Linked DNA regions of Yarrowia lipolytica. The main gene of each other region encodes a partner of the protein of the gene in region 2 in a complex. Links are inferred from orthologs where the notes say so. Each region holds a gene or a part of one and is shown on either strand. Other genes may lie near its edges. The genes, in order: YALI1_A01777g and YALI1_B19747g.

Region 1 (3,544 bases), on a different chromosome or scaffold from region 2:
CGTCTGCCTCATCCATATAAGGGTTGATTAGTCGTCTTGCCACGTTGGCAGCAGCCAGCTGGAACAGATTGAGCATTCCGGTGGGGTCGTCCGCCAGCCGTTGACCCAGATCTCCATCGTACGCTCGGACATGAGCAATGTCCACTTCTATGGTCAGAATGCCGCCCAGAATGTTGTCTTGCAGCTGGTCTCGGTAGATGAAATTGCCGTCAATGTAGAACTCGCGGATGAAGTCGGCGTACTTGCGGGTGAGTCCGACGTTGGTGTCCTCGACCCGGTCGTCGTCGCCGGGCAGCACTTGTGTGGAATACACTCTTCCTGTATCGAAGGACATTGCGGATCTTGTGTGGCGGGGGGTGTGGTGAGGTGTTGATGAGAGTTCTTTTCGCACTGGGAGGAAGTGTGCACACGCGTTCGTTACTATTCCTATTCGGGACAAGTAGAAAGTTTACTGAAAAAGAATACACGATCGAACACCACACCATACAACCGGGCAACGGGTGAATGAAACGATTGGAGTCGGTAATTGTGACCTCCGAGAGCTTGGAAATTCACAAATATCTCAAAATTTCCGTCATATTCCGTCTATCGTCGCACAATCGCCCCGTCAAACCCCGCCACGGTTACCCCCTAGCAACGCGTAATAAAGTTGCCAAATTAATTAAAGGGTGAGAGCCCGCGTCTCGCGGTTAGGGCTGCAATGTTTGGGAGTGGCTGTTTTGGTCGGGGCCGCTTGAAACATGCAAACGCTGTATAAGATGGATTTCTGCTTACTAACATTCATCATTCTATTAATACAAATAAATACATTACCGTACAATCACTTGTCGTCCTTTTTGTCGTCCTTGTCGTCCTTGTCTTCCTTGTCGTCCTCGCCCTCAGACTCCTCTCCAACCTCATCATCCACAACCTCCATCTCCTCATCGGAGGCCTCCTCGAGATCCTCGTCCTCTCCGTCGCCGTCACCGTCGCCGTCGCCCTCGGCCTCCGCTTCACCCTCAGCCTCAATGTCTTCCTTGGCGTCAGCCTCAGTCTCTCCCTCGACCTCCTCCTCAACCTCCTCTTCCTCTTCTCCCGCTCCATATTCCTCCTCATCGTCTTCAAGGTCGGCGTCGGGCTGCTCAGGAGGGAACTCCTCGCCCTGCTCGCCCTCATTGTCCCACACAATGTTGAATCGAGTCACCCGGGGCTTCTCAGCAAGAATGTTTCGCACCACATGGTCCACCTGCACCTTTGGAGGGGGGTTGAGGCGCAGCTCCTCGCTGTCGTACTCGTTGTTGACGTAGTATCCGACTCGTACAAACTCGCGGTCGTTGTAAGAACACGACAGAATGATGACGGTGACAGAAACCAGCTCGGACGCGGGAATCAGGTCAACTGTGGGTGGGTCGGCCGTGAAGACGAACTTGTTGACTCCAACGGGAACCGGGCCCACCAGAAGCGAGTCGAGTTCCTGGTCGTGTTCGAAAGATGTGGACGAACCAACGTATGTGAGTTTCCATTCGAGGTCTGTGTTAGTAAGAGATATTGGGACATTCGTAAACCGAAGCCCTTGAGGACCCAGTTGATGAACCAGGAATAGTAATCCATCTCAACCCCATCAACTGATGGACAATTGCTGATTAGCTCAATCAACATTGGTGGATGCTCAACCAACACTTGGATAGATGCTGAGATGGAGACACTCCATGAACCCCTATGACAGCCTCATCCACCAGCCTACAACTCCCGATCAATGCACCTAAAAAAGAACCAATCAACAACTTGACATCAATCCAACGTCAATTAGATTGGAATAGTCTCTGCCACTGGCTCTCCATGTGTCTCTCCATGTGGCCCTCCATGTGGCCATCGCACTGCCTACCACCGCTCTCCCCGGTCTACTCACCATGCTTCAAAGGCTCGAGACACTCAAAGGTGATCTGGAACTCGTAGGGGCTGCCGAACGGCGCAGGGTTGTTGAGAACGTCAATGTTGAGTAACGAAACGATAGACATTGTGATTGTGACGGATGTGTCTCGTGTGTGTGTAGTAGGAAGAAAAGATTGTACAGGCAAGCGTAAGACGCGTCACTTTTAATTTAGCAAACTTTAAGACAAGTGAACCGCGTGAGTGCAAGAATTGACGGTGAGAGTACGAGCGAGTACGAGCGCACAAGTACCGTAATTGTAGATTGCGTGCTAGGAATGACTGAAAAACAAATGTCTGATGATCCGCCCCTTCGTTCGAAACAAAAAATCGTGATCGTAAATATCTTCCATAACATATACCACTTGGTTGCGATCCCACCGCCATACCCACGGCAACTGGATCTCTGCTGGATTGCTCCACTGAAGTTTCCCAGTTAATCTTAGAACGGAAATCTCAAAGCCGATTACTCAGACCGAGACGCCCATCAACCGCAGAATTCGGAAAGGACAACCAAATGGCCAAGTGCAGAGCCCAAGACTCGAACGCACAACAAGAAGACGATTTACCACTCCGACAAAATGCCATTACAGCTAAGTTTAAAAAGCGTTGGGACTACACACCCAGCCAATCAAGTCACGTGTTGCCCAACTTCAAGTGCGATTTTAACCACCTTTCGACGCAATTTTCAAGAATATAAATCGGTTATTGGGTAAAACCATATGTGATAGTTGCAATCATGCTATAAAATGCTGGAAATTCTGAAAACTGACAGCCGTATCGTTGATTCGAAAATCGGGCGTTTCCAGACTCTTTCTTTTCGGTGCTGGGGACGAACCAGAGGTCGGATGTGACAGAAAAAAGTACCAATCGACTCGTAGAAGCATGTAAAATTATCTCATCTCAATATCGTTTGTTTATAACCTCTCAAATACAGAATATCGCGACCTCTGATGTCACCATACAGTACAATACATCGCGTATATAGCGTATATAGACTATTGGACAACGACCCCCCCCCCAATGTTTCAACCCGCAAGAGTCCTTGTTGAGACGGCATTTGTGGTCATAATTGTGCCAAAAATCAGCCCGTGTCTCTTGGCACGGCCCCTTCCTCGAGCCGCGCCAAGAACACGTTTTTCGCCCTCTCAAAACGGCACTATTCTCGGACTCGTAGTAGTCGGACGCAACCTCACGGCCAACTCTAAATGCCACACTCTATAAAGCTCGGCATGCCGGGCTACTGTGAAACATGCATAACATAGGTGTCACCATTATCGACTATCACACTCGCAGTCCGAAATGTCGTGGCCGGTGTCTGCGCCGCAAAGCGTCAAACTGCTGGCGCCCGACGACGAGTGCATAGCCATTGAGGCGTCGCGATCCGGCTTTTTCCTCATAGCCCTCACCCACTCCTCCATCTACATCTACCAGCTCAACCCACTGTTTCCAGTGGCGGTCCACTCCCGCAGCGCATCGAGCCTGGACACGTACGGCGTCAACCGCAAGATCATCACCAAACGCGACGGCTCCCACGTGGGCGTCATCACGTCCGGCGGCCACGTGATTCTCTACTCGCTGTCGATTCTTCCGTATCTGGAGCCAGGCAACATCACCTTTGAAAGCAGCGGTACCA
Region 2 (4,495 bases):
ACGGCGAACGGGCTACTTCTGTGGCTGCCATCGGAGGTGTCGTTGCTAAGCTTGATCTCGACCACACTCGAGCCACCGCTCCCTACCGAGATGGCCAGCGAGTCTCTCACTTCAACGTCCAGACCTCTGCCATTGACAGCAAGACTGGAAACATTGTCATGACTGTCCAGGGCAAGCGAGACACTAACTACTCTCCCCGAGGAAGCCGATCTCCCCGCGCCGCTTCCAGCTCCGACCTCATCAACAACATGATTAAATAAGCACTTTGTACATAAATAAATTAAAATGTTGAACCTGGTCGTTATGGTTGGAAAGTAGCTCTTTGAATGAATAAATGTGAAAGAGCGTGAGCTGTATACAGTATGTACGGTATGTACATACGAGTGCGAGACTCTACTTAGAATAAGACTCTCTGGTTGTGGTTTAACAGATAGCAAATCTGAATCCACGCTTTTGTCAGTGGTATAAATATTACAAGCACAAGGTACAATACTTGTACCACGGTGTCTGAATACAAGTAAATGTGGACAGTTGAAAGAAGAAGAAAAAATGAAGAAAAAAAAGCGTAAAAGGTCCTTAATTTACTCACAATCCCATTAAATACAGTATGTACAGTAGCTGTATATCTCAAGCACAAAATCTATTCTTTTATCCATATTAATTATTGATTATATACGCGCCGCTCCGGTATCCTGTAGCGTTCATTTTTTATCGTGAGGCTCATTGTTAAGCACCGAGTCGACAGTAGCTGGAGCCGAAGTTGAACTGGCAGGAGAAGAAGAACCTGTAGATTCAGGAACCAACGTAGGTGCAATACGTCGTTTCTTTTTGGGCTGCGGCTGGGCGATAAAGTCGGATCGTTGAGTATCTGTAGACGAAGTGGAACTGGCCCGCTCATGTCGACTTAGGTTAGCAGTTCCGTAAGCCCCTCGGGAGATGGAGTCCAACTCGGCTGAAGACAGACCTGGAACATTGACTGTTTGCAAAGGCCGATGAGTCGGGGTCATGATGTTCATCTGAGAACTTCCCGATGCCGGGCTGGAAGATGCAGACATGCTTCTGAACACCGACGAAGAGTTGGAGGTGGGTGTGAAGGAAGGAACGGTGGGCAGCTGCGAGAACTTTGGCCGGTTGTCACTCAGGGTTTCATTTGAGCTGGTGGGTGGAGTCTTCATTGGAGTGGCAGTAGGGGCAGCACCAGTTACCGTAGAGGTAGCTGGGACCTCTCCTGTGTACAACTCCCCCAGATCCTCCTTGCTAAACGTCAGAGCTGAACAGAAGCCGTCGACAGAAGACACAAAGAGATTCCGGCCGTCGTCGGACCACGACAGATCAGTCAGAGGGGCAAAATGCAAGCTGGTGGCAATACCGAGTGGATGATGCTGTTCTGTGTCGTAGATGACCACAGAGTCCTGGGTTGCCACCGCGTAGATGACTCTGTAGGGCAGTGCGAATGCCGGAGAGCTCATTTTCTCGCCAGTCTCGTCATTCTTAGGGGCTCCAGCTGGTGTGTTATCTTTAGTGATGTTTGCTGTGTCAACAGGAGTTCCACGGAGCTTGAAGAGAAGAGGACAACATTTGACTGCCAGTGATGGTTTGTGAAGGCCCGGAAGGTAAGCAACGGGTGGCTTGTTCAGCCCTGCCCGTGAGTAGATATAGACCGTGTTCGTGTCTGCGTTTGTGTTTTCGTACTTGAACACTCCACTTGGCGTGAAGAGCAGACTGCCATCGGGACTGAAGGATAGTCTTCTGAAGAAGGACGGAAATGACTCGTTCTGGTATAACGCCGAGTTTCTGACCTTGGGCGACTCCGCTGGTTTGACTGCTGGCAGAGGAATGAATGAGGAAGGCAGGGGACTCTCGCTTCTGTTGGAGCCGCTAAAAGAAGACTTTCGCGAGTGTGTCTGAGTACTGGAAGGAGGGTTCATGTTTCCGACAGGAGTGCTGGGTGTGCCCACATCAATGTCGTGATGATGGTGGCTTGAGGGCGTCAGAGAGCCTGAAGTTGATGACAGTTGTGACGATGACATGACTGGTGTGGAGGGCGCGTTCTTAACTGGCAGCTCTGCCTTGTTAGACTTTTGATGGAGCTCCAGTCTGTTCTTTTCCTGCTCAGCAGCATCCAGAAGATACGTTCCTTCTCTATTTTTGAGTGCATAGATATGAACGGACCGATCGCTGCTCTGTGTAGCTAGGTACTCGTTGAGAGGGTCCCATGCCACACCCTGGACATAGTGTGAGTGTTCGGCCACTTCTCTAACACATTGACCCGTGGCCACGCTGAATATCCTTCCAATGTTGTCCATGCAGCCCACTAGAATGAACTGCGAGTCTGGCGACCATGCAATATCATACACCTCCGGTGGAGGGCGTTTCGCGTCCAGCTTGTGCATAACGAACGGGGTACGCGGTTTCCACGACTCTTCGTCCACATCGTCCCGCCCAAACTCCTTCTTTGGCGGCACAATTTCGCCGTTGCGGGTTACCAGCGACCAGATTACAAGCGTCTTGTCATCTCCGGCTGAGGCCAGCAGTTGGCCCGTGGGATCGAACCGTACCACGTTAACCGCTCCTTCGTGCTTGGTCAGGGTAGCGAGATACTCAACCGATAAGTTATCGATCGTGTCTGTGTCGGAAGTCTCGGGCTTGGAGACTCTCCATATTCGCACGTTACCATCTCCTCCGGCAGTTGCCAGACGGCTTCCCCCATGATATTTGCCCTTCTGCAGGTCTAGTGAATAGATTGGCTCACTGTCGGTGTGCCAATGGATCGTTAATGGTTTGGCCTTCATGATGATGCGGAATGGCCGGCGAGCGGGTATGTGTCGTCTTCAATGGGTTGTGTTGCTTCCTGGTGTGCTGAGTCCTGTCTCTCCCAACTTTTTCTAAATGTCCGGCCCAGTTGTCTTCCTTTTTTGCTGTCGTCGGTTTCACCAATTTAGTCTATACCCACCACCCAGCTAATATGCACACTGTGGACGCTCCTCGCATGTTGGGACAAACTCTACTTACTGTAGCTTAATTAGACGTTATGGTCTCGGTCCTAACAATTAGGCAAGGTTGGGGGGTTGGGAGAAATGGATCTGCCAAAAACATCTGCCCGGTCGCTCAGGCCAAAGAGAACGGAAGGGTCAAAGAGGGGCTTCAACACAAGCTGTTGGCCACTAACAGAAAATATTTCTACTCACAAGACAACATTACACGGTGCCGTAGTATAAACTACAGTAAGACTACAGTACTTGTACTCTCACACATCCTAAATCATGCATGTTGCAATGGAATACCAAAAACGACCGAACATCACAAGGTATGTACCGTAGTGGTAGCTACGTTCAGTGTCGCTCTTTTGTCATTGTCTCTCCATCAAAATAAAACACGAGTCAGGCTATCGTGAAGGCTAATCCGCTGGTTGCATTTGCATTTGCATTTGAATTGGATGCTATTGGATCCTGGCGTATAACTGTCCCCCCTCCTGACAGGTGGAATCCCCATATTCCATGGGGCTCACGTCTTGGCACAAGTCGCGCACCACGAAAAATAAAATACCCCACCTTGTACGATACATCAAGCATCGACCTACCGAATCTACAGTATGTACTTGTATCATATTGTGCCTGCCCACTGTAGAACACCACACACAGAAGCCGCTGTACCCCCTCCTCCGTGCAAAGCCTTACTGCACCGTTCAAGTAGCTCTACAGGGTAGCTCGTATCCATAAGTATGTCATAATTTTCAATAGCAGAAGGCGGTTATCAGGTATCCCACGTCCCCAATCAAGATTTCATAGCTGACATTCTATGACTTGTCGAGGCACTAATAAGACTGCTAACTGGCTCTAAGATAACTCTTGTCCTTGTGTGCCTCGTATAATACCTGTAACTGGCGAATATTACAACTCTAGCTACAGTAGTCTGGTTTCAGCACACATAAGTTCCACAAGTACGATGGTTGTCACATTCGATTGTGTAATACGATATGTACATTTACGTCGATTGAAACAATATCTACAGTACACATGAGACACAAGGCTTGCCTATTTGACTCCACACAACCTTATCTCGATTGTCTGATTTGGCATGTGCCTTTTTTCAGTCAACTACCGCTTTAATAATAGCTCCCCAAAAATGCAGACTTGTCTTTCTTCGCCTGTCGAGACTTTTTGACTCGTCCTGCTGATACTGCCTTCTTCTGCTTGGGGTTGACGGGCTCGATACGGTACAGAACCTGCTCCTTGACCGTGGTGAAGATGCGCATCTCTTGCAGTGCGGCACAGCCTTCGTCGATGCCGGTCCAGTTGTCAATCTTCAGACTGTCGGCGCTCTTAGCATCCTTGCTAGTGGCGATCAGCAATTCGGTAGGCATCTTTTCTGTTACGCATCTAGCGGCAGCCTCGAGCGTATCAGGTGCCAAACGTAAGGCCCAGACCTTTCCGGCAACGTAGCCTATCTGCAACACCTTCCACGTGTCTCTGTGGCCCACCCCCTGCACCTGCTC

The links.
Region 1: the proteins of YALI1_B19747g (region 2) and YALI1_A01777g are in contact, whole or in part, in a crystal structure (PDB 2Z3F), measured with the Schizosaccharomyces pombe proteins. The link is inferred for Yarrowia lipolytica from reciprocal best matches to the Schizosaccharomyces pombe genes pcf2 and asf1. Residues at the interface, in NP_594450.1 of Schizosaccharomyces pombe: Lys503, Arg504, Ile505, Ala506, Pro507, Thr508, Pro509, Val510, Tyr511; in NP_588267.1 of Schizosaccharomyces pombe: Phe28, Asp37, Leu60, Leu61, Val62, Gly63, Pro64, Ile65, Pro66, Gly68, Ile69, Asn70, Lys71, Phe72, Val73.

The regions. Positions count from the first base shown.
Region 1 is NC_090770.1:176,285-179,828, forward strand, and holds YALI1_A01777g (uncharacterized protein), read right to left. Parts: upstream 1,998-3,544; coding exon 1,889-1,997; intron 1,510-1,888; coding exon 821-1,509; downstream 1-820. Other genes in the region: YALI1_A01766g (uncharacterized protein), read right to left, coding at 1-334; YALI1_A01794g (uncharacterized protein), read left to right, coding at 3,211-3,544. UniProt on the Schizosaccharomyces pombe protein: Histone chaperone that facilitates histone deposition and histone exchange and removal during nucleosome assembly and disassembly.
Region 2 is NC_090771.1:1,971,939-1,976,433, forward strand, and holds YALI1_B19747g (uncharacterized protein), read right to left. Parts: upstream 2,793-4,495; coding exon 702-2,792; downstream 1-701. Other genes in the region: YALI1_B19713g (mitochondrial 37S ribosomal protein bS1m), read left to right, coding at 1-260; YALI1_B19774g (uncharacterized protein), read right to left, coding at 4,106-4,495. UniProt on the Schizosaccharomyces pombe protein: Acts as a component of the histone chaperone complex chromatin assembly factor 1 (CAF-1), which assembles histone octamers onto DNA during replication and repair.